Tamandua tetradactyla: one gene and its partners. The protein of the gene in region 1 binds, or shares a complex with, the protein of each later gene. Links are inferred from orthologs where the notes say so. Each region holds a gene or a part of one and is shown in the gene's direction. Other genes may lie near its edges.

Region 1 (9,877 bases):
CCCACTTAATGGAAGACCCATCCATCCATTCATCCATCCAATTATTCTTTTATTCCGTAAACACTGATGCCTACTCTCTGTCAGATGCTTAATTACTAAGAAGAATAAGACCGACTCCTGCTTATAACAGACCTTTTGGTTCTCTAGTTTCAGACCTTTTTTCCTTTTTTTGGCAAAATCTTTCTTTTAAATGAAAAAATGAAATCATAGGTAGACCCCCATAAAATAAATATAAAATTGGAATTGTGGTATGGATAAAAACAGATACAAAATAATACAAATTATGAAGTCCAGACCAGCACCAGCACTTGGGAATTTATTAGAAAAGCAAAGTATCAGGCCTCACCCCAGTCGTACTGAATAAGAAATTTGGGGGATGGTTGTTGTTTATAGTTGTTTGTTGTTGTTTTTCCCCTAATATTAGAGAAGTGGGATGCTTACAGAAATATCATGCAGAAAATACAGAGTTCCCATATACCCCATTCACATACACTCTTCCCTATCATAAATACTTTATATTAGTGTGGTACCTTTGTTATAATTGATGAAAGAATATTATTATAAGTTAACTATATTAGCTATAGACCATAGTTTACATTAGGGTTCACTGTGTAGTACAGTCCTTAAACAACAGCACTATTCCGCTAACATATACACAACTTAAAATGTCCCCTTTTAACTACATTCAAATATGTAATTCAGTGGTGATTGCAGTCACGGTGTTGTGCTACTATCGCCATCATCCATTACCAAAACTTTTTTCCATCACCCCAAACAGAAACTATGTACCAGTTAATCATTAACTTTCCATTCCTTACCCCAACCCCAACCCCTAGGATACAGATTATCTAGTTTCCAACTCTATGAATTTGCTTATTCTAATTATATCAGTGAGATCATACAGTATTTGTGTCTGGCTTATTTAAGTAGAAAAACGCCTTCAAGATTCATCTATGTTGTCACATGTATCAGAACTTCATTTATTTTTAATGCTGAGTAGTATTCCATTGTATGTTTTTACCACATTTTATTTATCCATCTTATAGCAATTGTGAATAATGCCAGTATGAACATCGGTGTGCAAATCCAACAATCTATTTCAAAAGCCCTCCAAGTAATTCTGGTGCATGATAAAGTTTGAGAACTGCCAGAAATATAAAAATGGGTATAATTCTTATATCAGAGTTTAATCCTATGTAGTCAGAAATTAGGGCAGCAGTTACCTTTAGGTGAATAGTGAGGGGCCAGGAGCCCAAAGAAGGAATTCCAGGGTGCAGGTGATACTATGGCTTCATCTGGGTACTGGTTACATAGGTGTGGTCAGTTTATGAGAATTTCTCAAGGTGTGTAGTTATGTGCATTTTTCTGCGTGTATGTTAAATTTCAAATATTTCAACACAAAGTTTTAAAAAAGGAAACTATCTGGTTGAAGTCCTGTGAGGGGGCTAAGAAACCAACCACAACTCTGCCCTTCCCTCTGCCCTAAGGAATTTCCAAGGAACCCTAAGGCTCCTCAGAGTATAATTTGAAGTCATTGATCTGCCCCAACTGAGACCCAGAGAATGTCAGTGAGTTGTCCGAGGTCCTACAGAGTCAGCCCCAGAACCATGGTGTCCTGACTCCCAGGCCAGGATTCGGGACACTATTCCTTTGCCGAAAGGCCAGTGTCATGAAGGAGGACAGGGGCAGCTGGGCAGCCTTCTCTCCGCTACCCGCTCCTTAACGTGGGGCTTGGGAGGAGAGCCAACATTCTGTTGCGGATGATGCTTTCCTTATCCTGGAGCAACTTCCTTTCTGGGAACTGGGTGTCTCCTTTTGGGCAAAAACAATAAAATTCATCCAAGGGGTCAGAGGAGCTGGGCTCCTCCTGCCGCCTCCAGGATGGGCATCACGTGGCTCCCTGGGTGAGCAGTTCAGGAAAATCCCAGCCCTTGCAGACTCGGCCTCCTACACCCATCTGTTCACCCACGCTGTCACACTCAGCCCCCCAGGCCCACCTTGGACCTTCACAAACACCCTGGCATACTCCTTTCACCCCCAGCTTCTGCCACCTCTCCCTGGGCAATATTGCCAGCCCTTCCCTAGCCTATCCCAAAGCTCCCATGTCCTTGGGGCCACAGAAATTCCAGCCAGTCGGCAAAGAGGATGAAAAGGAGGAGAGCCTGGACTCTGTGAAGGCACTAACGGCCAAGCTGCAGCTCCAGACACGGAGGCCCTCCTACCTGGAGTGGACGGCCCGGGTCCAGAGCCAGGTCTGGCACAGGGTCCAAGCCAAGCCCGGGCCGGGGGGATCTGGAGCCCTCTGCGGCTTTGACTCAGTGGACTCTGCTCTTGAGTGGCTTCGTCGGGAGCTGGTGAGTCTGGTGGGGTGGGGCGCCTTTCAGAGGCCAGTCCTGCTTAGGGCCCAAGACCAAGGGTGTGGGGAGGGAGTAAGAAAGGACTCTACCCCCCAGCAGCTGCTTATTCCTGTGACTCTGTCCTGGGCCTAAGAAGCAAGGAATAGATTTGTCCTGTGTTTTGTTTAGGGAGCTCTGCTGAAAAAGTATCTGCTCCAATCAACTATATGCTCCTATCGTCCTGCTCTTGAGAAGGGCACCAGTTATGGGTGGGAGAAGATACTCTGGGAATTGCTGTATCCCGAAGATACACTGAAGTATAAAAGCAGGCAGTGACTAAGCTGTAGGCAGAAATCCGAGGAGCGTAGTATTGAACAGGTGGTTCTCAACCCAACATGTTGCAATGTAAAGATGCCCAGGCTTCAACCTGGAGATTATGTTGGCTGATCCAGGAGGGCACCCCAGGCATCTGTATTTGTTTAACAATAGCTCCCTAGCTAAGTTTGAGAATCACTGGTGGAGCCAGATCTGAAATGGGGAGGGATCAGGCTGGGGCGAGAGGAAGCTGGGACTGACACAACCAGCACAAAGGCCCAGAGTGTTGACAGGAAGGGATAACTGGCGTGAGGGCCGGAACTAGTCCAGCCAAGGCTCACGTCCCCTCTTGGTTGCAGCGGGAGATGCAGGCTCAGGACCGGCATCTGGCTGGGCAGCTCCTGCGACTGCGGGCTCAGCTGCACCGGCTGAAGGTGGACCAGGCCTGTCACCTGCACCAGGAGCTGCTGGACGAGGCCGAGCTGGACATGGAGCTGGAGCCAGGGGCCGGCCTAGCGTTGGCCCCACCACTGCGTCACCTCGGCCTCACACGCATGAACATCAGTGCCCGTCGCTTCACCCTCTGCTGAGGGCCAACCGCTGCCCTTTCCCCAGCCCGCCTAGGAAGGAAGAAGAGCAGGGTGCCCCAGAGGCCCCAGCACCTGACAGCGGGTGAGGGTGAGGGAGGGTTCAGCTCTCAGAAGTTCTGAGAGTACAATGCTCAGGCATCCTGTCATGTCCAGGTAGTGCCCTCTCCACCCCCTACCCCACCCCTACCTGGAGAACCCACTCCACCCCCCACCCCACCCCCGGCTTCTCAATAAACACCCTCTCTAATTTCCAACAAAGTCTCTGTAGTCATTTACTCATGTGAAGTGCAAGTGTCTGTGATCTGTCGCTGGGACCAGTGATTCCTGCAGGGGAGAAGGCCTGTTTGGTAGTGAGGAATCCCATCCCCACCAGAAGGTCCCGTTCTAGTTCTCTGTCTTATCTCTCAGCTTCTTTGCCAGAAACTCAAGCTCAGAACTGGGAAGTAATTTAAAATCCCAAGTCACCCGCACCTGGAAAAACTGGAAAGGTGTAGAATGCAGGATGTGGTAGACCTGGGTTCAAAGTCAGTTCCCCCATTTATTTCAATTAGACCTTGAGGAGGTCCCTCAACCTCCGAATCTGTTTTTTTACTTCTAAAATTGAGATACTAATTCTCACTCCAAGGTAGTCAGAAATGGCTTAAGTGAGATAATTCACAGTAAACACTTAATAAATGTGAGCTTTCTATTACTGGTCATTACTGTCACCCAGTAGCATTAGTACAATAGTGCTAATGGCCCAGAGAAGGACGGTGAGATGCTCAGGATGGCACAGCAAGGTGAGCAGGACCTTGTGCCCTGCCGCAGACCTGGAGCCCTGGCTCTGAGCAATGTGCGCTCTGTAAGTTTTTTACTTTACATCTCTCTGCCTTTGTTTCTGTGTTACTCTCTTTGTCTGGCTTTTCAACTCAGGCTTCCTCTTCCCCCCACCCATTTCCTGCCCCCCTCCCACCTTCACAGCTGAGGTGCACACAGAATCAGCTTCCATTTCACAAACCCCAACAATACTCTGTGGGTTCCCCTCCCCCAGCTTGCTCAGGGCTCAGGCCATGATGGTGATGCATTCACACTTTCCTTGGGTGGGGTCAAGGCCCAACTCTTGGGCCTGCCAGAGTTCACCTGGAGTTCTTCAGATTCCTGGTTCCTGGCCCTCTGCCCATGACAAATGCCACCGTCAGACTGGCCCCAGGCAAAAGGGAGGTCCTTGGTTTGCCTGCTGCTCATGACAAGGATCCTGCCTATAGCAGGAAGTTCCACCAGTCTGCTGCCTGCACCTGGGTGCCTGGGCAGCAGAGTTTGTTCTGCCTTCCACCTGTTGCAGATGCTGGCAGACTCTGCATCTCTCCCAGGGGCTGTGGCCTTGCCTCTCCCTGAATTAGAAGTGTCGCCTCACTTTCCAACCATAATTAGTACGTATCGCCCTGCCCATAATTCGTAGGGTCTGTTACTCTGCCCTTCTGAAGATGCAGTGTTGACCTGCCAGCTTCCTGAAACCGGGTTGTCCAGGATTTTGTCTATAAGAGGGGTTTTAGCCTAGCCTCTGACTTTAATAAAGCACTTGTCCTGTCCCCTGAGACAACATGACTATTGCTCTACCTACCGATTGTAGCAACCCAGTGAGCTGCTGTCTGACTGTGCATGGGTGTTGTTTAAATCTCCAACTATTGAACAGAGGTGCTGTCCTTTCTGCTGACTTTGAAGCCGTCAGACAGCAACAGTGGTGCTACCTGCCTTTCCCTGTAAGCTGAGCCTGTGTCTGCTTGCTCCTTGCTTGTCCCTGCTCGTTGGGCTCAAGGGCTGTCCAGGAGCACCCTGCGGGCCAGGACATGAGGTTCCATCCAACATTCATCTTCTAAGTGCTCACCCTCGGGTAAGTCGGGCCTGCCCCTGGAGATGTATGGGACCCCCAGGGGCTGAGGGGCGGGGGGCTATGGCAGCAGGAAGCTTGGGGTGTTGAAGGCTTGTGGTTGGGCTGCTGGGGCCGGGTTGGCTGCGGAGTCCTCAGGAGGAGGCAGGAAGTCAGCGTGGGACGTGGGCGCGAAGAGGTAGGCAGAGGCTACGACGGCGAGGGGAGCTGAGACCAAGACTGGGCAGCCGGGCCGGGCCAGGAGGACCATGTGAATGGGCCGGAAGGCTCCCGGGCTGGGCAGGTAAGGGGAACTGGGAACAGGGTAAGGGGAACTGGGAACAGGGGTCTAGGGGCTGTGGCGTGGTTGGGGATGACAGCAATGAGCCTGCAGCTGAGCATGGGGTCAGGCGTCCCAGGGTAGGCAACAGCCCTTCAGGCTGGGGGACAGAGAAAGCTTGCTGGTGGTCAGGTGGAAGGCATGGAGGGCGACTGGTTCACCTCTTTCCTGCATAGTGGGTGGCTCTTGCCTCTGCCACACTATCCACCATCAGTCCTTGCCTCACTGTTTCTTAGAGAGCTGATACATGGAATGTCAGATATTTAAAAGGCCTTCAGTAATCATCAACTACAGTTCCTTATTTGACTTAGGAGGCTCCTGAGACTCTGATCAGGCAAGATGCTCATTCCCCACGGTGCCTCAGCAAGGCAGTGGCCGGGCCACGATGGGAACGCAGTGCTCTGGCTTCACTGGGGGAGCATAATGGCCTAGATCGAGACCCCCACACCACCCTCCCTGGAGTAGAGTGATGGACAGGTTTGAGTCCAGGGGACCCAGGAATCTTCTGTGTCCTGTGGCAGATCTAGTGACCATAATCTCCTGAGAGGAACCACCCAGGGCATCCGCATGGAGGCATGAGCAGCAATTTTATCTTCAGTGACCAGCATTACTTGAGAGAGGGAGGGGTCGCCCTATAGGAATGGATGGCTACATAAGGGGATATTTATGATCTGGATTAGACTCTCCAGGGTGAAAGTATCTGCTCTGACTCTGGGAAGTTGGAGGGGGAGAGGATGATGGGAGAAAAGGAGAGGAAGGGTTATTTTTATCCTGGACAGGGTGCAGTTGGCTGTGGGCAAGGAACTCTGAACTTCTCTCTGGAGAGTTGCCACTCCTGCCTCAGCCAAGAGTTGCAGAATGTCCTCTTCACTCCTCTTGTTCCCTCCTGCTTCAGCCCTCAAGCGGCCGCTGTATGCAGGCCAGCTAGGCCCTCCGAGTCCTCCTTCCAGCCTAGGGAAGTGGAGGCCCAGGAAGGCATAGTCAGCTACCCGCCCACCCGCTCACATTCTACTTCTGAGCCTTCAGTTTAGTGGGGGAGTCCCCTACCTCAACCAAACATCCCAGGTTCCCCTGCCATGTCCTCCGCCACTGGAGTTTTTCTTAACACACAATTTCCGCCTAGTCAGCACGTCCCAGCCTTTCCTCTGTCCCCAGGTCCGAGGCCTGTGGGGGCTGGAAATGTGTTGGCTCATTGGTGCTGCAGGGGGACTCCTCCACCCCCTGGCTGACTGACATGAGCAGTCCCTTCCTTTCCTGTGCTAATAGATGAATCAGACAGTGGCCCTCATCTCTCCCTCATCTTTGGGGCTCAGGGACAGAGGCTTTTCCCAAAGGGAGGAAGGGCTCCGTAGATAGGGACAGAGAAAGGACCGAGGGTTCAGAGGCGAGAAGGCTTCTCTCAGGGGGATCTAGAGGGCTTCCTGGAAGAATTAGGGCAGTTTTAAGAAGAGCAAAAACCCATTTTGGAGAGAGCTTGGGACGTGAAGCCAGAATCACCATCCCTGGGCTCTCGCTGTTCCTTGAGTACCATGAGGGTAGAGACCAAAGGTAAGAGAGCCAAAGGTGTCGCGTAGTGCAAGGGGCACGCGTGTTAGATTCAGGCCGACCTAGGTACAATTCCGGTTTTGCCATTTCCTTGGACGAGTGGCTTCACCCCCTGTATTTCAGTTTCCTTACCCGAGGCAATGATAAAGCCCTCCCTTACTGAGTGCTTGTGGGGAATCAAAGAGAAAATAATGACCGTGACATGCCCTGGTTAATACCTGCCACGTAGAAGGTGCTTAACGAAAGTTCGGTGCTCCCTCCCCATGCATACGCTGCAGCAGAGGGAAGGCTGCCCTCGCCCAGAATTGTACCCACTCAGCACCTTGTCAGGCCAGTGAGCCACCCATTCCCTCAACCCTTGTGGTGTAGCTTTGCATATGAACTTGTTGTTTCCTGTGTATAGTGGGTGTGAGAACTCAGGCTGGCTGGATTCTGGGCTACCTCTGAGGTCAGGAGTCTACCTCAGAGGGGGGTCCCACAACATGGCCTCCCTGTCCGAAACAGGCTGGATATCATCATGAGGACATGTGTGCATGTATACTCAGAGGCAGAAGCAGAGGCTACACACACAACACACCCGCACTGGTAAAAATCAATCCCCACACCCACAAGCCGATGGCTTCAAGGTCAGGTTCAACTCAGCAAACGCAATTCTCAGGGGAGATGGGTGGGGGTGGACACAGGCAGGACCAAGATACCATCCGGGGCCGGCGCCTCTAACAACAAACTGCACGGTTAAAGTACACGGCGCTGCATTTCCCAAGCTTTTTCCGTAGAACATTAGTTCCATGAGGCACCTGGAAAGGAAAGGGCTCTGGGGCCAGGTACACATGGCTTCAGTTACAAACTCTGTCCCTCTGTTTCACAACCAATGTCAGAGCGTTAGAGCGTTGAAAGTATCCCCCAAGAAAAGAAATCTGATTAATTTAGTCTAGTGCGGTTTCCCAAATTTCCTTGGCCGCAGAACCTTTTTACGTAGTGACCTTTTCCACGGGCTGCACCTCTTGAGATGGGTATGGCGGAGAGAAGACGGGCTGCGCAGTCGGTCTTCCTCAAATGATGGCATCTCTTGGTAGAGTTTTTCCATTAGTAGCGGTTTTGTTGTTTTTCTGTTCGTTTTTCATTTACAGAATTAGCACATGGGTGTTTTTAAAAATTCAAAAAGTACAGAGACATATAAAAAATAGAAGAAATGTGTCCCCTCTGGTCCACTTCTGGAATGTGCTCGCTTTCAGCAATTTGGTGTGCATTCTTCTAGACTTTTCCACATATGGCTGCTTAAGAGCACAGCGGTTAAGAGCCTGCACAGTGGAGGAAGGCAGAGCAGACCGAGGTTCAGCTCACAGGTCCACCACTTGTTTGTTGTGAGGCCTCAGACTCCTTACCCTCTTTGGGTCTTAAATTTCCTTTTTTTTTTTCAATTATTATTTTTTCTTTATTAGAAAAGTTGTGAGTTAGCAGAACGAGCATACATACAATACAAGATTCCCACATACAGCCTATTATTAACCCCGTGCACTGGTGTGAAAAATTTGTTACAGTAGATGAAAGTACATTTTTATAATTGTGCTATTAACTAAAGTCCCCGGTTGAACTTAGGATTTGATGTTTGAGTAGTGTAGTTTCATGGATTCTTTAAAAAAAATTCTATTCTATTACCATATGTACAATCTAACATTCCCCCTTTTAATCACATTCAAACATATATTACTGTGCTGTTAATTGCTTTCACAATGTTGTGCTACCATCACCATTATCCATTACCAAAACATTTCCATCTTCCAAACAGTAACCCTGTACATTTTTTGGGGGGGGGGGTGCTCAGTTTTTATATCTGTAGAATGGGAATAATGGTAGCACTTACCTCATAAGATTATTGTGAGAATTACACGAAATCATGCAAATAGAGGTTTAGCACAGGAGCTGGTGTAAAGGAATTCCCCATATATACGTATTTAAATGCAAATAGGCCTATTTTCTACATTTGGTTCTGCAACTTGCTTGCCATGTTATCTGTGGACTCTTTTTCCACGACAACATATGGAGCTCTACTTCATCGTTTTAATGGATTTAGCTACCTCTTAGCTTGCGAATGGGTAATGGTGGTGAATTTGAGATGCTGCTACCAGGCAAGTGGAACTGTTTTGCATTGACAGTGTTGCTGGGAGTCACAGACAGCACCCATCAGCGAGCTGACGACAGGCTATATGGTTTCCTAAGAAAAGGGAGTGACCTGCGAGAGCAGTGCCCGCCTCTATCACAGACCGTGGGGCCGAATGGACAGGAACCCCTTTTGTCTGCTCACCTCTGTGTCCTCAGCACTAGTGCAAAGGCTGGCACGTTAAGTTTTTGCTGATAGACCCACCAGCTAAAAAAACTGGGTCTCCTTCAACCCAGGGACAAGGGCCCAATCCTAATGTTCTCCCTCGCAGTGCAGCATTTCCTAAAATGTGACCTGTCCACCATTGATGTGTATGAGCTGATTTCAGGGGATAATGGATGGATGTCTAAAAATGTTATTTTGTGTATTACATTATGTGTTTATTTTAATGTGTACCGATTTGTACTATCTATCTATGGCTGGTGATACTGGTTTACATTTATGGTAATTTAAAAGTGTTCCTTTTAAAGTAAATATATTACAACTGAAAAAGTAGTCCGTGGACGTGGCAAAAATCATATAAAATGAAGGAAAATGAAAATGATGAATTAGTTTAGTCTGGAAAATGTGTGAGACTGGTGCAATAAATGTCCCACCCCAGTCACAAACAACAATGATTCTTATTTATTGAGTCCTTACTACATACCAAGCACCATGTTAATCTCATATAATGTTTACTACAACTCTAGATGCAGCTCCTATCTTTATTCCCATTTTGTAGATGAAGGAACTGAGGGAGGCTCA
Region 2 (10,575 bases), on another chromosome or scaffold:
CTCAATAAATTTAAAAATATTGAAATTATACAAAGTATCTTCTCTAACCATAATGGAATGAAGCTGAAAGTCAATAATAAGCAGAGAACTGGAAAATCCACAAATATATGGAAGTTTAATAACATACTCTTAAACAGTCAGTGCGTCAAAGAGAAAACTGCAAGGGAAACCAGTAAATATCTTGAGATGAATGAAAATGAGAACACAACAATATCAAAAGTTATGGGATACAATGAAAGGAATGCTAGGAGGGAAATTGTTAGCCCTAAATGCTTACATTTAAAAAAGAGATGAACTAAAATCAAAGACCTAATTGCACAAGTGGAGGAACTAGAAAATGTACAGCAAATTAAACCCAAAACAAGCAGAAGGACAATAAAGACAAAAGCAGAAATTAATGAAATTGAGAATAAAAAGGAGAGAGAAATAACAAAACCAAAAGCTGTTTCTTTGAAGAGATCATCAAAATTGACAAGCCCTTAGCTAGACTGACAAAAGGAAAAAAGAGAGAAGATGCAAATAAATAAAACCAGAAATGAGGGGAGGGGACATTACTACTGACCCTACATAAGAGGATACAGTGAACAACTGTATGCCAATGAGGTAGACAGCCTAGATGAAATGGCCAAATTCTTAGAAATACACTAACACTATACTCTAGAAGAAACAGAAAATCTCAACAGACCAATTACAAGTAAAAAAGAATGAAGCAGTCATCAAAAACATCCCCACAAAGAAAATCCCAGGGCCAGTTGGCTTCACAGATGAATTCTACCAATGATTCCAAGAAGAATCCTGCTCACATTCATCCAAAATATTGAACAGGAGGGAACACTGACTAACTTATTCTATGACGCCAATATCAGTCTAATACCAAAGCTGATAATGATACTACCAGAAAAGTTACAAAACAATTTCTTTTATGAATATACATGCAAAAACCTCAACAAAATACTACCAAATCCAACAGCATATTAAAAGATACACTGTAATGAAGTGGGTTTTATTCCAGGTATGCAATGGTGATTCAACATAAGAAAATCAATTAATGTTGTACACCACATTAAAAAATGATCATCTCGATGAAGAAGAAGCATGTGACAAAATCCAGCATCCTTTCTTGATAAAAATAGTTAAAAAATAGAAACAGAAGGAAGGTTCCTCAACATGATAAAGGACATATATGAAAAAATCCACAACCAACATCACACTCAATGATGAAAGGCTGAAAGCTTTCCCTCTAAGATCTGGAATGAGACAAGGATGCCCACTGTCACCACTGTTATTCAACATTACGCTGGAAGTTTTAGCCAGAGAAATTAGGCAAGAAAAATAAATAAAAGCATCCAAATTGGAAAGGAAGAAGTAAATCTTTCACTATTTCCCTACGACATGATCCTACATATAAAAAGTCCCAAATAATCTACAAACAAAGTTGCTAGAGCAAATAAACGAATATGGCAAAGTAGTGGGGTACAAGATCAGCATGCAAAAATCAATAGTGTTTCAATACACTAGTAATGAGCAATATGAGGAGGAAATCAAGAAAAAGAATTCCATCTACAATAGCAACTAAAAGAATAAAATATCTTGGAATTAATTTAGCCAAGGATGTAAAGGACTTTTACACAGAAAACTGCAAAACATAGCTAAAAAAAATTCAAAGGAGATCTAAATAAATGAAAGAACATACCATGTTCATGGATTGGAAGACTAAATATCATTAAGATGTCAATTCTACCTAAAATGATTTACAGAGTCAATGCAATCCTAACCTAAATTCCAAAAGCTTAATTTGCAGAAATGGAAAAAACAATGATCAAATGTATTTGGATGGGTAAGGAACCCTGAATAGCCAAAAACATTGAAAAAGAAGAACAAAGTTGAAGGACTCATATCTTCTGACTTTAAAGCCTATTACAAAGCCATAGAGGTCAAAACAGTATGGTACTGGCACAAGGATAGGTATATAGACCAAAGGAATCAAAGAGAAAGTTCAGAAATAGATCCTCACATCTATAGCCAATTGATTTTTGACAAGGCTGCCCAGCCTGCCCAATTGAGAGAGAATAATCTCTTCAACAAATGGTGCTGGGAGAACCGGATATCCATACACAAAAGAACAATGGAAAAACCTTATCTCACACCGTATACAAAAGTTAACTCAAAATGGATCAAAGTCCTAAATATAGGAACCAGGACAATAAAAGAGCCCTAAAAGAAAATGTAGGGAAGTATCTTCAGAATCTTGTTTTAGGCATCTTAGAATATGACCAAAGTACAAGCAACAAAATAAAAAGTAGATAAATGGGACCTCATCAAAATTCAAAACTTTTGGTCATCAAAAGTTTATCACTAAAATGAAAAGATAACCTACCAAATGGGAATATCCATAAGATATAAAGAAATACTACAACTCAACAATAAAAAGACAACTCATTGAAGATGATTGAATAATGATATAGCTCTCACAATGTGACTGTGTGATTGTGAACACCTTGTGTCTGATGCTCCTTTTATCTACCTTGTCAACAAATGAGTAGAACATATGGAATAAAAATAAATAGGGGGAACAAATGTTAAAATAAATTTAGTTTGAAATGCTAGTGATCGGTGAAATCAAGGGGTAAGGGGTATGGTAGGTATAACCTTTCTTTTTTTCTGTTTTCGTGTTATTTCTTTTCTATTGTCTTTTTATTTCTTTTTCTGACTGGATGCAAATGTTCTAAGAAATGATAAATATGCAACTAAGTGATGATATTGTGAATTACTGATTATCTATGTTAATGTTTTATTTCATTTCATTTGTCAAATTTTTTTAATTAATAAATAAATTAAAAAAAAAAGACAACTCAATTTAAAAATGGGTAAAAGACTTGAAAAGAGATTTCCCCAAAGAGGATATACCAAAAACCACATGAAAATACTCAACATCACCAGCTATCAGTGAAATGCAAATCAAACTACAATGAGATACCATTTCACACGCAGTAGAAAGGCTACTATTAAAAAAGAAAACCAAAGTTACAAGTATTGGAGAGGATGTGGAGAAATAAAAACATTCATTCATTGCTGGTGGGAACGTAAAATGGTGAAGTCTCTGTGAAAGACAGTTTGGCAGTGCCTCAGATAGCTAAGTATTGAATTACCATATGACCCAGTAATCCCACTACTAGGTACATACCCAGAAAATCTGAAAGCAGAGACATGTACAGATATTTGCACACCTATGCTCATAGCAGCATTATTCACAATTGCCAAAAAGATGGAAGCAACCCAAGTGTCCGTCAATTGACTAATGGGTAAACAAAATGTGTCCTACATACAATGGAATATTATTCATCATTCAAATGAATAGGAATCAGAATGAAATTTTGATGCATGTTACAATATGGATGAACCTTGAGGACATTATGTTGAGTGAAATAATTCAGACACAAGAGGACAAACATTGGATGATCTCACTGATATGAAATAAATAGAGTAAGCAAACTCATGGAGTCAGAATCTAGAATATAGGTTAAAAGCAACTCGATGGGGGTAGAAAATGGGGAAATTGGACGGAATTTCTATTTAGGTTGATTGTAAAGTTTTGGAAATGTATGGGGTGATGGTAGCACAATATTGTGAGTGTAATTAGCAACATTGAATTACATATGTGAATGTGGTTAAAAGGTGAAATTTTGGGTCATATATGTCTATATTCTAAAATCTGACTCTATGAGTTTGCTGAGAGTAAAAATTAAAAGATAAAACATAGGACTGTACAACACAGTGAACTCTATTGTATATAATAGACTATAGTTAATAGTACAAGTATAAGAATGTTCTTTCATGGACTACAGCAAATGTATGTTACTAGCACAAGATATAGGGCGGTATATGAAAAAAAATACACCTAACATAAATTATGGACAATAGTTAATAGTACAGTTTGAATATTCTTTTAGTTAAAAAAGGTACCACACTAACTAACAGTAGGGGAATATATGGGAACACTGTATTTTTTACATGGCTTTTCTGTAAACCTACAACTTGTATAACTAAAAAATAATAATAATTACAAAAAAAAAGATATTGTTTGTGGAGGAAGTGCTGGAGGGAACCAGAATAGAAACGGGACAAGTAGTCATGAGACCATTGCAAACACAGTCTCAATGAGCTTGGTGGTCCTGGAGATAGAGCAAAGTGGGGGTGTCACAAATGAAATGGAATTGTGATTGAGATAAAGCAAGACCCTGATGATTCTAGAGTTTCACAGGCCTTTCTGGCCTCAAGGAAGCCAAGTCCTTCCAGGAAGAACTCTGCCCAGACCTGAATTGGCAGGAGGCCCTAGCCCCACGGCCTCAGGTTGTGCTCTAGGCCACCTCTGTGGAGCCCTGGCCCTGAGCCCTGATTAATTTCCTTCCACTGCCCGGTTATGCATTCTGAGTATGTCTTTAATTAAAGTAAATTAAAGTTATTTTTTTAAGTTTCAAAAAAGCAAACATCTTAAGAAAAACAAAGACCTGCTTAAATTCAGCATAGAGGCTGGTAACCTGTCACCCTGTCTCTGTCAGGATGTTTTTAAAAATAAGAGGCTGGCTTGATGGAGTGTGGCTGTTTCTGTCTCCTCATACCACTCGTGTGAGTGCCACAGCATGGGGTTTGGAAGCTTAACTGGCAGTGGATGGGCAGGCCCAGCCCAGTCCTCTGCACACCTGGCCTTAGAGCAAGCAAGCATCCCCAGAACCCAAGCAATTGCATCTGCTCTCCTGGGTGCTGGAGGGCGGATGTCGCTGTGGTTACATTGAGAATCCACCATTGTTCTGTGAAAAATATCATTGGGGTCAAGAAGCCTTCTGGGTGGGTTTGACATGTTGCCTTGGCATTCCCCTCCCCCACTCTGTGGTGCTCTGTACAATGGGCTCCCACCCTCCCCAGCCCACACTTTGCGTAGCTGCAAGGCTGGAAGGCTCCTGAGCCAGTTGCAGCCCGTTTCCAGAAGACTTAGATGGGAGTACTCTATTTTCAAGCATTTCACACCAGAAATCTGGCCATCATCATACTTAGGGAACTGGTCTCCAAGATTCCAACATCAGGAGGTTGACTCTGGTGCCCTTCTAAGACCCCCCCCCCCACCCCTGCTGAGCACAATGTCCTTTAGAGTCTGGTCATTTCACCCTTGTTCTCATGTCCTGTGACCAGCCGGAGCAGGTACTGTCTGCTGTGGGAGCAGAGACTGCAAAATGGGAAACTGCCATCTAAACTGATGATGGTCACGCTGTTGGCCTGTCTGGACCTGGTTGTTCACTTGCCCTTCTCATTCATGTGAGTTTAGGAACAACACTGTGTCTACATTGTCAGAGACATTACAGAGATGGAGAATAAATGCTACATGACCTGGCACAAGGCTTTAATTGCACAGGTGCCTTGTATCTACTGCAGCCTCCCTACCTAAACGTCAATCATCAGGGGTACTAAACTATAGAACATCCATTTAAAATAGTGGTATAGATCCACATGTGCCAACACGAAACTTTGCTCTCCTTCTTCTACTGCTAACTAGGAACAATATATGCATAGTATAGCCCCACGTTTCTAAAGCAATGGATAGGCACAGGGTAGGCACGGGGTACACTCGGCTGTAACAGTGTTTTGCTCTGGAGAGTGGAAGATGGTGACGAGATGAGCCCTGGGGCTTTCCTTCTATTCATTTTCGTATTGCCTGAAGTTTCTCAAGAAGGGATTACTTTTGTGTTTAGAAAAAAAAAAACAACAACACTTTCAAAAGCATTTCTAAATATAAAATGTTCTATGCTCTATATTAGAGTAAGCACCTTGAATGCCTTGAGGAAGGAGAACATTGAAATCAAAGTAATAATAATGGTAAAAAACATCCCACCAACATTTGAGTTTGGACCCAGTCAGCAAACAGCACAGACCATGCTGTGAGGTGACATGGGGGTGGGGGAGCCACCCCCATGTCTGAGCCACCGCCCTCACTGGTGGGGCAGGCACATGGAACCAGGCAGCAGTAACATGCCCTGCACCCAGCACAGGGTCCAAAGAGGGAAGCCAGGGAGCTCTAAAGGGAAGGGGGGAGGGCACAACACTGGGGCTCTTGTTGGGGCAGCAACAGGTGAAGAGGAAGGAATGGGCTGTGTGTACCTACCAGGACCAGGAGCAGGAAAACCAGCTCCACCCAAGCCTTAACCAGCGCCCATGTACCTGTTGAGCACCCAGAGCAGGGGGTAAGGAGACCACTAAGGTCCAGCCAGAGCACCAAGGCTGGCCTCCGGGCTTAACCCTGAATGCAAGCCAGACATTGGAACAAGTGCAAGTCCAGAAAGCACAGGCCGGTACAGTCGTCAGATAATCTCCAGCCCTATGAGGCTGCAGCAATCGCTACCCAGAAAACAGGGGCAAGAGGCAGGGGCCAGATTGCTAGGAGGGACCCCCAAGGAGTGAGAAGGCCTTTCCTCAGTGTACGCAAGAGTAACTTGCGCAAGTTCCAGAGAAGCGGGCAGGTCACTAATTTCTCTTCCTTCTCAGCCCTCAGTGCCAGTTTTGCAAACAAAAAGCCTCAAGTTGAGAGGGCCATCTTGCCTGAAGGCAAAGGGAGTGGAATCCCCCTCTCCTAAATCCCTCACTAGCCTCTGTGTCGCGTCTGTAGCTCCCCCTAAAGGAGCCGTTTCCAGGCCCTTTTCCTCATCCCCTAACCCGCAGCTATCAATGTCCCCGGCTGCCTGGCAAGGCTGCCTCGACGGCCAGGCCCTCGTTGGCCGTGCCCAGCCCCGTTGCCGGTCCGGAAGGTGACAACCACGAAAAGCACTACGACTGTCTTGGCGGGGGCTTTGGGTGACATCATATCCTTCGCAAGCGAAATCGGGCCCAGCGGCCGGCCCCAGCACGCGACTTCCCTCTCCCTGCTGGGCCGGCTCCCGAGCGGCCCCTTCGCCTCCCCTGCGCTCCGGAGGAGCGCGCCATGGCTTGGCCGGTGACCGCCCTGCTCCTGCCGCTGGCCGTGCTGCTCCGTAAGTGTGCGACCCCGGAGAGGGGAAGGGGATGGGGAGGAGGGGTGCGCGGGACTCCGGGCTCAGCCGCGCTGCCCGACGTCTGCAGATACCGCGGCGGCCTCTGAGTCGAGAGCGTTCCGGGTATCGCCGCGGGAGGTCCGCGGGCACCCGGGCGAGCCCGTGGAGCTGCAGTGCGAGGTGCTGCTGTCTTCCGCGGCGTCGAGCTGCTCGTGGCTCTTCCAGCGGCGCGGCGACCCTGCCAGCCCCAGCTTCCTTATGTACATCACGCAAACCCGCACGAAAATGGCCCCAGGGCTGGACAGCAGCCGGTTCTCGGGCAAGAGGGTCCGGGATTCTCTCTTCACCCTCACCCTACGCCCCTTCCGAGAGGAGGACCAAGGCTACTACTTCTGCGCGGTGCTGAGCAACTTGATGATCTACTTCAGCCCCTTCGTGCCGGTCTTCCTGCCAGGTTCGGGGTGATGCGCGCGCTGGGCGCAGCAGTTGTCCGCGTGGGGCGCAGGGCTCCTTTTGATACTGCTTCCCCTTCCCCGTCGAGGAAACTGGGACTCAGAGGCAGCCGGGCAGGAACTGGAGTTGACTTTGGTTGCCCGGTCCATATGGGCTCGAATTCGAGGGGCTGTTTCCTCCTGGGCGAGTTTCTTAACCTCCCCCTCCGCCACCGGGGCCACCTCCGTTTGTGAGGCCGTAACATGAGGATAGCAACCCAAGCTCCTCGGGCTGCTGGTTGAGACCTGGAGAGGGGCGGTGAAGAGGTTCGCAGGGGGCTAGGGTGCCCCGCGGCGAAGGGGTCAGCACGAATCGGGGGGCGGGTGACCCCAGTCCCCGCGTCCAGCCCGCTTCACCCGCCCCCCTCTCGCGGGTGGCGCTCTGTTGCTTCCAGGTTGGAAAACTGGGGGGCGGCGCCTCCTTGGATCAAGGGGTGCAGGGTGGGGAAGGGGCGTGTTCGTTTGCTGGGGCTGGCCTGCAACCCCGCGCTGTGGCTCCCGCAGAGAAGCCCACTCCCACGACACCTGCGTTGCGCCTGCCTACGCCCGCGCCCACCAACGCGCTGCAGTCGGCGACCCCGCGCCCGGAGACATGCCGGCCCGGAGCAGGCGGCCCAGGTGAGGAAAGCATGCGGGGCACCAGGCAGCTCTGATCGCCGGGTAGAGCAGAGGGCTGGGGCAGGGCTCAGGATCCCGCGCCCCGGAGCCGGAGTGGTGCCCCGGTGTGGCTGCCCAGGGTGGGGAGTCCCGACCCATTCCTGAAACGTCGGTGCGTCTGGTGTCCCCAGTGGCCACCAAGGGACTGGACTTCGCCTGTGACCTCTACATCTGGGCGCCTCTGGCTGGGTTCTGCGTGGTCCTTCTGCTGTCGCTAATTGTCACCGCTATCTGCAGCCACAGTGAGTCCTGGGGAGTCACAGCGAAGGGTGTTTGGGCCCATTCGTAGCCACTGAGCCACGGGACTTCCAAGCTGGGTGGAAAGAGTCATTCTCAGGGAAGCTTCTAGGAAGGAGGACTAGCGGCCCATTCCGGGATCGGTGGCAGTAGGGGGCCCATCCACCTGAGAAGGCCGCATTGAGGACGCTACAGGGCACGGTGGATTACAAACATCTGCCGGGGAGGGGCAGCGGTGGCCCTGGGACCAGGGCCCCAAAAGGGCTGGGTCAACCACAATAGGTTTCAAGTGTGCCCTTGGTGCTTCTCTATGCCCTCCCCCACCATGACTCCTGCTTTGGGTCCCATGCCTATGACTGCACCAACTCCTGGCACAGACTCAGTTCACCCACACCTGTGTTTGCAATGCTAGAAAAACACATGGATGCCTGGGAAGAGGGATGGAAAATAAACCGTCACCTGGGCGCTCAAGAGTTGTGATCCTCAAAGGAATAGGAGAAACTGTATTTGGGAACTATTGGGGAGGGAAAGTCACTTTTTTTTTCCTTTTTGTTTCTTATCAAGGGAACAGAAGACGAGTTTGCAAGTGTCCCAGGTGAGTTTCTTATATGTCCTCCACCCGCTGGCCCAGGCAGTGGTGGGTGTGGTCCTGGCTTCAGGAGCAGCAGAGGATAGGGACCTTCCCTAGAAGGCTGCTATAGCAGCCATGTTCAAAGAAGTCAAGCAGGGAGTATGGATCCTAGACAGAGAGGAGCTGGTGGGGAGAGCAGTCTGACTTCAGTAAACCTCCACCTTTTTTGGACTAGAGTGAAAAAAAAAATTGAGGGCCCCCTCTCCCCCAATTTACCATAGCACCTGAGTACCTGAGTATTCCTTATGTGGATGATTCCACCTGGATTTTGCTGTTCTCTTAAGAAAAATCTTTTTTTTTTTTCCCCTCTTGGCTGGCAGTCTGGTGTTTTGAGGAAGAGCAATCACTTATCTCTGAGCTCAGTAAACAAGGGTCTTGGTCCCTTATTTTCTTGTGCCTGGCAGCTCAAGTAAACACCTCATACAATTTCAGCCCCCAGACATTCTGAAATGATGAGGAAAACCAATCCACCAACCAATCTGAAGAAAGGCCTCAGCCTCCTTTCTCCTCTGGCTCCGGGCAGGAGGCAGCCCTATTGGGAGCCTCCTAGCACTGTAATGGGGGCTGATCCTCACAGCAACTGTGGGGTAGACACCCAGGGCTCCCATCTCCCAACTCACAGGCTCAGGAAGAGGAAAGCAACAGATTATCAGTAATAACAGTACTAGTTACCATGGGGTGGAAGACTACAGTGTAGGAGTAGCTTGCCTTACATGCATTTAAATGTCAAGTTTCATAGCAATCTTTAAAAGTGTTACCATGGCCTCCATTTTGCAGATGAGGAAACTGAGGCTTAGGACATTTAGTGACTTGCCCAAAGCCATCCCACCGGCAAGAAGCATAGCTGCAACTTCCTGGCAAAACTCAGACTCCTTCCCTGAGTCAGGGCTTGTGGAGGGCCAGAGCAGGGAGTAAGCCACAAGTAACTGATTATATATTCCCCAGTCACTTTCACCAGCAAATATTTGGGTGAGAATATTTAAATTTTTATATATGAGGTTTGCATTTCACACTCCCTGGTATTTCTGTGCAGGGATCCAAGTTCAGTGTCTTACACATCATGAATTAAAAAAATGGAAAGGTAACGCATCATCAACCAGCATGTTATAGGTGATATACCTAAGGGATAAAGATTCTAAAAATTAGAGAGGATTTTTAGCATTTCCACATTTTCATGACTTGGTGTGCAATTGGAAGCTTTGGGGGGAGAATCGTCCCTTATCTCTATCTTTCCTGAAAACTCTCATTTCGAAGTGAATAATTTCAAAATGAAACGCCAAGCTATGCAGGTTAACACATGTGAGTTCCTAGACTCGGTGGTGATGGAGGCCGCTCAGCTCTAAGAGGTTTTGGAGGATGGTATGTGTACATGTGACTCATAAAGCTTGAGCCCTTTCAGCGAGCCCTGGCCCAAGTACAGAATCAACACGTTTTATTGTAACAGCCAGCTCGGGTTGTCAGGGGCCCCTTTAGATAAAGGAGTTCTATTTGGCAGAGTTGGTTTGCTCCCGTGCTCCACCGTCTGGGATCCTGGGGCCGAGAA
Region 3 (9,662 bases), on another chromosome or scaffold:
AAAGTGTATGATAGATCAACGGATTTTAATGTAATGGAGTACAAAGGTGAGTTACAGTTTCCGATTCTATACTGCAACTAACTTTTAAAAAGCTAACATTTCTCTAATTTTAGCATACTATCAAAGAAGAATATCCACGAGGATCTGAAAAGCCTATTAAGATGTTTTCTTCTATTCCAACAGCCTGTCTGTGTGAGATCGGCTTTTCTTCATAGTCTTTCCCTAAAACAATAAGGATCCAGCTATCTTATTAAAGCAAATATTAAAGAGTTTTTTAAAAAAGGTAAGATGTCACGCTTTTTAATAAATTTTGCTTTGGAAAATATAGTTTTTTTTAAAAAAATGTTTTTCCGATTAACTTACAATAGGTTTATTATTATTTTAAAATCTAAAACTTTTCCAGTTTCAATTAAAAAAATAAATCTCTTGGCAGGGGAGGGGTCCTCAATAATTTTTAGGAATGTAGAAGGTCCAGAGAACAAACCTTGAAAACCATTGCTCTAGATCACAGGTAGGGAGTAGGAGAAGGACAGAGGTTTCTCCCAGGCAAAGAAATAACTTATCCATAGACCCTAGGGTGGGAGGCGCTCAGTGCCTTCGAGGGACTGAAAGCCCAGAGTGGCTGGAGCAGGGTGGCTGAGGTGGAGGGTGACTCCACTGGCTCTGCTGGTGAGGGTTAGAGGAGCCATGTCGCATAAGGCCCTAGGCCAGGTTAAGGGTTTAGGTCTTCATCCAGAAGAAATGGGAGGCCATTGAAGATTTCATTTATTATTTTTTTCCCTAGGCTGTTACTAGGTAATACAAGCATGTGGTACCAAATTTCAAAGGCACGGTGGGTTATATCTCCCACCCTACTTCCTCAGTCTGCCAGTTCCCTTCCTCTGAGGCTACCCCTCTTGCCAGTTTCTTTCAAACTTTTTTTTATTGCATAGTATAACATATTTACAAAGCAAAGAAAGAAAAAAGCAATGGTTTTCAAAGCACTTTTCAACAAGTAGTTGCAGGACAGATTCCAGAGTTTGTCATGGGTTAATGTCATACCATTATCTCAGATTTTTTCAATCTAGCTGCTCCAGAACATTGGAGGCTTGAAGGAATAAATGCTTTTTTATCATCACAATTGACCTTTTTTTTTTGTTTTTTGTTTTTGTTAAAGATAGCATATATACAAAAAAGCAATAAATTTCAAAGCACAGTGCAACAATTAGTTGAACAGATTTCAGAGTTTAGTATGGGTTCTCCTATTTTAGGTTTTTGCTTCTAGCTGCTTTAAGATACTAGAGACTAAAAGAAATATCAATATAATGATTCAGTAATCATATTAGTTTGTTAAACCCTACCTTCTCTGTGTAATTCCACCATCACCTATGATCTTTCTCCCACTCTTTAGGGGTATTTGGGCTATGGCCATCCTAACGTTTTCATGTTGGAAGGGTTGTCACTAATATGGGGTAGGGGGATGGAACCAGCTGACGTTCTGGAGGGTCTGAGCCCTCTAGGTTCTAGGCTTATCTGGTCCAGGGACCCATCTGGAGGTTGTAGGTTTCTGGAAAGTTACCCCAGTGCATGGAACCTTTGTAGAATCTTATATATTGCCCTAGATGTTCTTTAGGATTAGCTGAAATGGTTTTGGTTGGGGTTTGGCAAGTTTGATAAGTAACAATGTCTAATTGAAGCTTGCATAAGAGTGACCTACAGAGTAACCTCTCGGCTCCATTCAATCTCTCTCAGCCACCGTTACCTTATTTGCTACACTTCTTTCCCCCTTTTGATCAGGATGATATTGTTGATTCCACGGTGCCAGGGCCAGTCTCTTCTCTGTGAGTCATGTTCCACACCGCCAGGGAGATTTTCACCCCTGGATTTCATGTCTCATGTAGGGAGAAGGGCAATGATTTCACTTGCAGAGTTGGGCTTAGAGTGAGGCCACATCTGAGCAACAACAGAGGTCCTCCAGAAGTAACTCTTAGGCATACCTATAGGTAGGCTAAGCTTCTCTGCTTCTTACATAAGCTTCACAAGAGAAAGCCTCAAAATCAAGTCCTTGGCCTATTGATTTGGGTGTCCCTAATGTTTGACCAGTATCAGGAGTTTCCCTTGTGGTAAAGTTTAATAGTTCCATATTTTTTCTCCCATCCCTCAAGGAACTTTGCCAATACTTTTTTATTATCTGCTTTTTCTTTCTTTCTTCTTCTTTTTTTACTTTTTATTTTGAAGTAATTTCATACTTACAGGATAGTTGCACAAATAATACAAAATCCTTACAGAGAACTCCAGCATACTCCCACCTAGATACAAAGATCTAACTTTCAACATTTTGCCACGTTTGGCATATCATTCTACCTACCTACCTCTCTTTCTTTCTTTTTTCTACCTGTTACCTGACAAGGGTGGTGGATTCTTTTGCCTGATGTGCTCAAATGACCAATTCCTGAGACACTGGGGTTTCAAAGAGAGAAAAAAAGTTTATTACTAGGCATGTAGCAGGAGAGCAGATGGCCTATTGGTCCAAAATCTAGTCTCCCCAAACTGCAGTAATTCTGATAGTTTTATTAGAGAAAAAGATGGGCAGGGTTTAGGATTATGAACACAGTGGCCCCACCTGATGTAATTAGAGGTGATCTAGTTATTGAATAGGCACAAATTGATTACAAGCTTAGTCCCAGAATACATGTAGGAAAATAGCTGCCTTAACGCAATGGTGGGCATGATTTTTAATATTATAATGAGGTATAGGTAACTTGTAGGTTAATGTCTAAGCTACCGTGCATGTCAGGCAGGCTCATTTTGGTTAAATCCAGTCTCGATTCTCAATTTAACTTTGGGGTGGGTTAGTGCTGGGCTGACCCAAGACCCTTCATTAATAAACATTAGGGACTGCCTTTAGTGATCACAAGAATCTAAAGTTGAAAAACTGGTTAAATGGGTATAAATGAAGGTCAGTCACAAGGTTTTTATAATCACAAGGGCAGAAGATAAAGATCATCATCAGAGATCAAGACAGCCAGATTGCAATTCAGAGATTTCAGGTATTTCCCTCTGTCTACTCCGATATACCAGAAAGCAAAAAAAAAAATCTATATAATGATTCAGTAAGCAAAATCAGCCCTTAAATCCTAATTTCTTGGTTACATACCTATCTGTCTGTCTGTCTCTATCTAACTATCTATCACCTATATCTATCATTTACCTACCTGTCCACCTTTGATCTATTTTGTAAACATTTGAGAATAGGTTGTATACATCATGCTCCTGGAACACTATATTAGTTAGGGTTCTCTAGAGAAACAGAATCAACAGGAAATATTTGCAAATATAAAATTCATAAAAGTGTCTCACGTGATTGCAGGAATGCGGAGTCCAAAATCTGCAGGGCAGGCTGTGAAGCTGATGATTTCGATGGAGGGTCTGGACGAACTCCACAGTAGAGGATCACCGGCCGAAGCAGGAAGAGAGCCTGTCTCTTCTGAATCCTCCTTAAAAGGCTTTCCAGTGATTAGAGTGAGCATTACTCATTGCAGAAGACACTCCCCTTTGGCTGATTACAAATGGAATCACCTGAGGATGCAGCTGATGTGATCATGATTTAATTCTATGAAATGTCCTCATTGCAACACACAGGCCAGCACTTGCCCAACCAGACAAACAGGTCCACCTTTCAGTCAAGTTGACACATGAACCTGACCATGACAAACACTTAATATCTCTATGTATGTTTCTTTATAACAAGGACATTCACTTATGTAACCACCTTAAGTACTATTATCAAGTTCAAGAAACTTAACACTGATATAATGCTTACAGTCTATATTTTTCCATATGTCCCAATAACGTCCTCTTGGGTCTTTTTTGCCTCTATTATTAGTTTCAATCCAGGGTAATGGGTTGCATTTAATTTTCTTTGTCTCTTTAGTCACTTTTTTTTTAATTATGAAAATATATATCTCAACAGTTTCTTTTTTACAATGCAAGTCAGACTCTATCTGTAGTTATGTCAAGTTCACAGGTTAAGGACAAGACTGTCCTCACTTCAGACACTAGCCACGAGTTCCGAAGTTCCAGGACTCTGCACGTCTGACACAATTGGCTACAAATTTGGGAGTTCCCACCACTTCCTTAGTTTTAATAATTCACTAGAATGACTCATAGAACCTGGGGATCTATTATACTTACAGTTACTTTATTATTATTATTATTATTATTTTATTTTTATTTTTTTAACATGGGCAGGCACCGGGAATCGAACCCGGGTCCTTGGGCATGGCAGGCAAGCACTCTTACCTGCTGAGCCACCGTGGCCCGCCCTTTATTATTATTACTATTATTTTGGCATGGGCAGGCTCCAGGAATTCTCTGGGATAGGAATAAGAAGGAGCCAAAAGAAGAGACACACAGGGCAAGGTCTGGGAAGGTCTCAAATCCAAAGCTTCCATGTCATTTCCCCATGGAGTCTGGATGCTTCACTCTTGGGGCATGTTGATGTGTATTACCCATCAGGGAGTTCACCTGAGCTTACACATTCAGAGTTTTTATTGGAATTTTCTTATGTAAGTATGATTGATTGCATTTTTACCCAAGTGGTTGAACTCAAGCTCCAGCCCTGCAGTGCCTTAGCAAAGGTGGGGCTGATATTAAGTGGCTCAAAAGTCCAACTCTCTACTCACAGGTTTGGTCTTTCTAGCCTACAGTTGGGCAGCCGCCACCCTAAGACTGCTTGTGGGGCTGGCTCTGCCCTGAATCATATCATTAGTATAAATTCTCAGGTATGGGGTGGGGATGGCGGTTAGCAAAGACTTTCCTAGCATTTAAGAACTTACAAGCGTTTAGAGGTTAGCCTCCAGGATCCTGGACAAAGGCCAGAGTCCTTTTTGGAAGCAAAATTTCCGTTTATGTATACATCCAGAGGAGTCTACCATACCTAAGCATGTATACATATGCTACTTTCTTTTTTCCTTTTTTTCTTAAACACAAATGGGAAAAATGTAGCACTTACACTTTCCACTTGACAATCTCTTTTGAATATTGTTCCTTATCAGTACTTAAAGAGTTTCCTCATTTTAAAAAAATGATTGCATAAAAATTTATGGTATGGATCCACCATAATTTATTTAATCAGTCCCTTGTGGATTTAGGTTGTTTCCAATTGTTTGCTGTTACTAACAGTGCTGCAATGAAAATACTTGTTCATATGTCATTTTCCATATAGAAAGTACATTGATGATGTAAATTGCTGGGAGTGGAAATGCTGGGGTCAAAAGGTCTGTATATTTTAAATTTTGATATGTATTGATTGACATAGAGGTTGTATTAATGTACACTCTCATCAACAATGTGTCAGCTTTGAAGAGTTTTAGCAGGGGAATGACACAACCGTATTTACATCTTTAAATGTTTCTCAGGTTGCCTTGCAAAGTATGGCCTGGAGGAAGGCAGAATGGAGGAGCAGGGGGCCCAGCCCCAGACAACAGCTGTAGTTCAGGACAGAATGATGATGGCGCATTGCATTGGAGTGGTGGCAGTGGAGTAGAGTGACCTGGATAGATTTCAGAACTATATAGAAGGTAATGTCCACAGGGATTGGTAAATAAATACGTAGGAAGGATTGGGTGCAGGAGTCAAGGATTACACCCAGTTTATTTGGCTTGAGCAATGGGTGGATGTTGAAGCCCTAACTGAGTGGGAAATCTGAAGGGAAGTGGATTTGGAGGGTGGTAGTACAAAGATACTGGATTTACTTTGTCTGAGGAATGCCTAAGTGGAAATGTCCAGAGGGTAGGGGATATCATCCCAGAAGGTCTTGAGAGATCAGGCTAGCGATAAACATTTCAGGGCTGGCCAGAGCCTGAGGCTCAGAGGAGAAGGTACAGTCGTCGGCCACTCTGAACCTACGCATTCCACAGGTCCTCCACTCACCCCTTGCCCTTGCTGCCACATTGGACACCTATACTTGGACCCCCAGAGGTACCTACTGGACAAATACCCTTGTGGCTCTGGAGCCGGGCGCTGTCTTGGGGGATTCTCCACAGCTGTTCTCAGAGGTCACCCACCTGCCTCCCACTTCTTTCCCCCAAAGCCTAGGCCAGATGGCAGTATCATTGCTAAGATCTTTTTCTTGCCACCCAACAGAGGCAGAGACGCTCTGGGCTCCAGCCTGGCTCTGCTTAACTTTTTCCCTTGACTATGGCATTTTCGCTTTGACATCTTCCCCAAGAACCAGGGGGTGGGGACCCCAGCCCCAGATGGTGACGTTGGGGGCTGGCCCAGGCCTGGGGTGTGGAGGAGCTGGCTTCCTGTTTCTCTTCATTTAAGCACATCTCTGCAGAAGGAGCAGAGCCCTCTGCCCACTAGACTCCTGGCTGCAGAGTTCCCAGTCCTCCCATAGACACGCTGTGTGAGAAGCAGAGGGACCGAAGACACAGGCCCAGAGGTAAGATGGACAGACTTTCTCTCACTGAGGCTGGGAAGGGGAACCCAATGCCGAATACTCTGGAATGTGCTGGACTCTCACTCTCTCCCTATAGCTCTGGCCGCCCTCTAACTTCTCACACATCTGGTCATATAGTTGCTATCTCCCACTGGGACTATGGGCTTCCAGAGGACAGGAACTATACCAAGTTTGTCTCATCCCCACGGTGCACACCTCTGTGACTGGGGTGAGACCTGCTCAGGAGAGGATGGTGGCTTTTGCAAGCTCAGAGAAGTGTGGGGAACTTAATCATGGGAAGGCAACTTCCCATGGGCCCTGGAGGAGATGAAGATTGGGTGACGGTGTCAAAAGAAACAGTCACCAGCATAATCAAAGTGGCAAGTTTGTTGAAGGAGGAACTCCTCCAGCAGGGAAGACCTCGAACCAGGGAAGCTGGAGCAAATGTGGCTTAATTGCAATATTGTCGGAGGTGCCTTCCAGCTTCTTGAAGAGCCCCTGAGTTCATTTGTTTTTGTCTTCTGGAAGATCCTTTCTTGGAAAGGGGTCCTTCCAGCAAGCCCAATGCAAGGGGCCATCTTATTTTATTTAACGAGGGGAAAAGAGAAAAAAAGGGAAGAAGGGGTGGGAAATAATAGAAAGAATGAATAAATATTAAGGAGGGAGGATGCCTATAAAAAAGAAAAGAACAGACAAGGATAAAAGCAAGATGAAAAGAAGGAAGTAGGATTTAGTCTAGAGGTGTTCTCCCCAAGTCAGTTTGCCTGGTGACGCAATCACCAAAAAATCCACACCAGAAATCATGCCTGCAGCATTTCATAAGCCACACAATCGATAGAGCCTCTTTTTAACTCTCTTTTCTGTTTATGCGTCTTTAAAATTTTTTTCTATACCTGTGCATTTTTTAAGGATTTTTTTTTTAACAATTTGTAGAAAGTCCCTTCCACTTTAATTGGCTTTAAAAGTGATTAATAAAATGAGAAAGCCAAAACGAAACTGAACGTGTATGTATGAAATGTTGCAAAAGTGACAGATATGAATTTTTAGGCAAATAAGTTGTTAGAGAAATTATTTCTAAGAGAATGGGCTTTAGGCGCCTTGGCCTGCTCTGGGAAAGGAGGTCTGGAGAAGTGGTCTTGGACTCTAGGAAGTCTCCATGAAGCCTGCAAGCGCGAGGGGTGTGTGTGTGTGTGTGTGTGTGTGTGTGTGTCTGAGGGCACATCCCGCTGCTGCTGGGCTCGAGGGGGCTGAGCGGGGCCTTGGGGAGAAGATGAGAGGATTTGCCTCCTAGGACTTGGTGGGGCCGGGGGGGTGAAGCAGGATGCGATGTCTCCACACCGGGATGTCCTGTAAAACTGCAGCCCCTGCCTCCACACGCTTAGGCCTCTCCCTTCTCACACCTCCATGGTCTCAGAGCCCTGCCCTTCCCCAAGTTTCCTTGGCCTTCCCTTCATAGACTATTTCTGAGAGAGAAAACCGGCTAGGGTACAGTCTGATCCATCAAAATACGGAAGCTCCATTCTCCCTAATTCAAGGGTCTCATTCCGGGTGGAATAGCTCTTCCTGAACAGCCTACTCTTTTGGGGTCAATTTTCAGGGGTGTTGGCTAAGAGCAGAACACAGTGGTGGAGATCATGAATATTTCACCTTTTGACACCTAATCTCTTGTGCTGTATTAGATTCTGTAGCCTCATATAAAATGGCCGCCCTCTTACCCTCAGAGGAAAGAGCTCCCAGAGGACAGAGAGAGAGATACTCAGGAGGTGATTTCCCCCTTTCAATTTGGGACACTTAATGTAGAAGGGCTCTATCTCATAAAAACTGCCCCCTCCAACTGTTTCTAGGCAGAAGCTTTGAGAGCCTTAGGCCATTCTCCTGGTGAGGCAGCGCTGGGATGAGGCAGGTAGGCCGAGGATCTCGCACATTTGAGACACTCAGTAAATGTTTGTTGAATGAATAAGTGTGATGAGGGTGGGGGAGCAGATACCTGGGTGCTGGGAGGGTCTAGGTGGGTCCTGGGTTTGAAAGGCTGTAAGGCTGAGCTCTCTCTGTACTCAGAGATAGGGGGATAAGGGAAGGAGGGAGGGCACAGTTCCCCCCATGTGGGCGTCTGAGGCAGAGAGAGGATGGTGGAGGTTGCAGCCACCGAACCACAAGGGACCCCTTAGAGGGGTCATGGTCTCTAGAAAGTCTAAATGAAGACTGTAAGCATAGGCAGGGTGTGTGTGTGTGTGTGTGTGTGTCTGAGAGCACATCCCGTGGTAGGCTTGAGGGGGCTGAGCGGGGACTATGGGGAGAAGATAAAAGTGCCTGTGGGACCACAGACTGTCACTGCGGTGGGGCTGTGCCCTCTTCCTCCCCCCAGCCTCGCTCCTTATCCCAGCCCCGGAGCCCAGGGCTGAGGGCGGCAGGAGGCTCACAGGCTCTGAGAGAGTGCGGGAGTGTTGCCATTTTGGTCTCATCTGCTTGTGGGGCTGTCTCCCTTTTGGTCTAGTGCTCTGTGCATATGTCTTGGCTCTCGGAAATTCTTCCTTTCTTTCCCTCTGCTTCCATCTTCTTGTACTGTCCTTGGCTTTGTGTGTGATTGTGGGTCGCGCAAGGTGTAGCTGTTGCTTTAATGAGCTGTTCTGGGTCCCTCCTTCCTTCTTTCTCTCTCATCCTCCTGTGGGGTTTCTATCTGTGTGTTTCTCCCAGTTTCTATCCTTTTCCCTTTGTCCGCCTGTGTCCCCCGCATTGAGCGATCATCTCTGGCATTCACCTCTGGGCTCCAGGCCCAGCTCTAGGGGACTCTCTTTTGGGGGGCTCTCAGATCAAAGCTGTGGAGAGCTTGCCTTCCTGCCAGAGGACAGGATGCCTGTTTACAGGCAGGAAGGGGCTACAGCTTAGTGGCAGCTGGAGAGGGAAAAGATGAGAAAGGAGAGGAGGCAAGGGGTTCTCCAAGCAATATCAGGAGAGTCAGAATTGCCTCCCGGCACAAAAACCCCAGAGAGAGGCACACAGACAGAGGAGGTGAACACAAGGCATTGCTGTGGGGAGGCACAATCCAAATGTGAGCCAAGAAACAAGCAGAGAGGGGGAGAAACACCGGCACAACGAGGGACACAGGCAGCCCTCCCAACCTCTCTTGCTGGGGCTCGGGTACACAGGATGCTACTGTGCTGGGGCGGATGCCTCCGAGGAGACTGAGGATGTGGGAATCAAAGGCCAGCTCTCTGGGGTGGCAGCGGAAGCCCCAGGC

Evidence for each region.
Region 2: the proteins of LCK (region 1) and CD8A are in contact, whole or in part, in an NMR structure (PDB 1Q69), measured with the Homo sapiens proteins. The link is inferred for Tamandua tetradactyla from reciprocal best matches to the Homo sapiens genes LCK and CD8A. Residues at the interface, in NP_001036236.1 of Homo sapiens: Cys20, Asn22, Cys23, Tyr25, Pro26, Ile27, Val28; in NP_001139345.1 of Homo sapiens: Arg212, Arg213, Val214, Cys215, Lys216, Cys217.
Region 3: the proteins of LCK (region 1) and CD4 are in contact, whole or in part, in an NMR structure (PDB 1Q68), measured with the Homo sapiens proteins. The link is inferred for Tamandua tetradactyla from reciprocal best matches to the Homo sapiens genes LCK and CD4. Residues at the interface, in NP_001036236.1 of Homo sapiens: Glu15, Ile17, Val19, Cys20, Asn22, Cys23, Tyr25, Pro26, Ile27, Val28; in NP_000607.1 of Homo sapiens: Ala429, Arg431, Ile435, Leu438, Leu439, Lys443, Thr444, Cys445, Gln446, Cys447.

What each region holds. Positions count from the first base shown.
Region 1 is NC_135328.1:193,640,219-193,650,095, reverse strand, and holds the start of LCK (tyrosine-protein kinase Lck), read left to right. Parts: upstream 1-5,237; 5' UTR 5,238-5,391; intron 5,392-9,877. Other genes in the region: protein FAM167B, read left to right, coding at 2,103-2,354, 3,011-3,241. UniProt on the Homo sapiens protein: Non-receptor tyrosine-protein kinase that plays an essential role in the selection and maturation of developing T-cells in the thymus and in the function of mature T-cells. Plays a key role in T-cell antigen receptor (TCR)-linked signal transduction pathways.
Region 2 is NC_135343.1:60,257,392-60,267,966, forward strand, and holds the start of CD8A (T-cell surface glycoprotein CD8 alpha chain), read left to right. Parts: upstream 1-6,742; 5' UTR 6,743-6,967; coding exon 6,968-7,016; intron 7,017-7,104; coding exon 7,105-7,470; intron 7,471-8,011; coding exon 8,012-8,125; intron 8,126-8,295; coding exon 8,296-8,406; intron 8,407-8,965; coding exon 8,966-8,996; intron 8,997-10,575. UniProt on the Homo sapiens protein: Integral membrane glycoprotein that plays an essential role in the immune response and serves multiple functions in responses against both external and internal offenses. In T-cells, functions primarily as a coreceptor for MHC class I molecule:peptide complex.
Region 3 is NC_135333.1:69,078,793-69,088,454, forward strand, and holds the start of CD4 (T-cell surface glycoprotein CD4), read left to right. Parts: upstream 1-5,446; 5' UTR 5,447-5,561; intron 5,562-5,900; 5' UTR 5,901-6,427; intron 6,428-9,662. UniProt on the Homo sapiens protein: Integral membrane glycoprotein that plays an essential role in the immune response and serves multiple functions in responses against both external and internal offenses.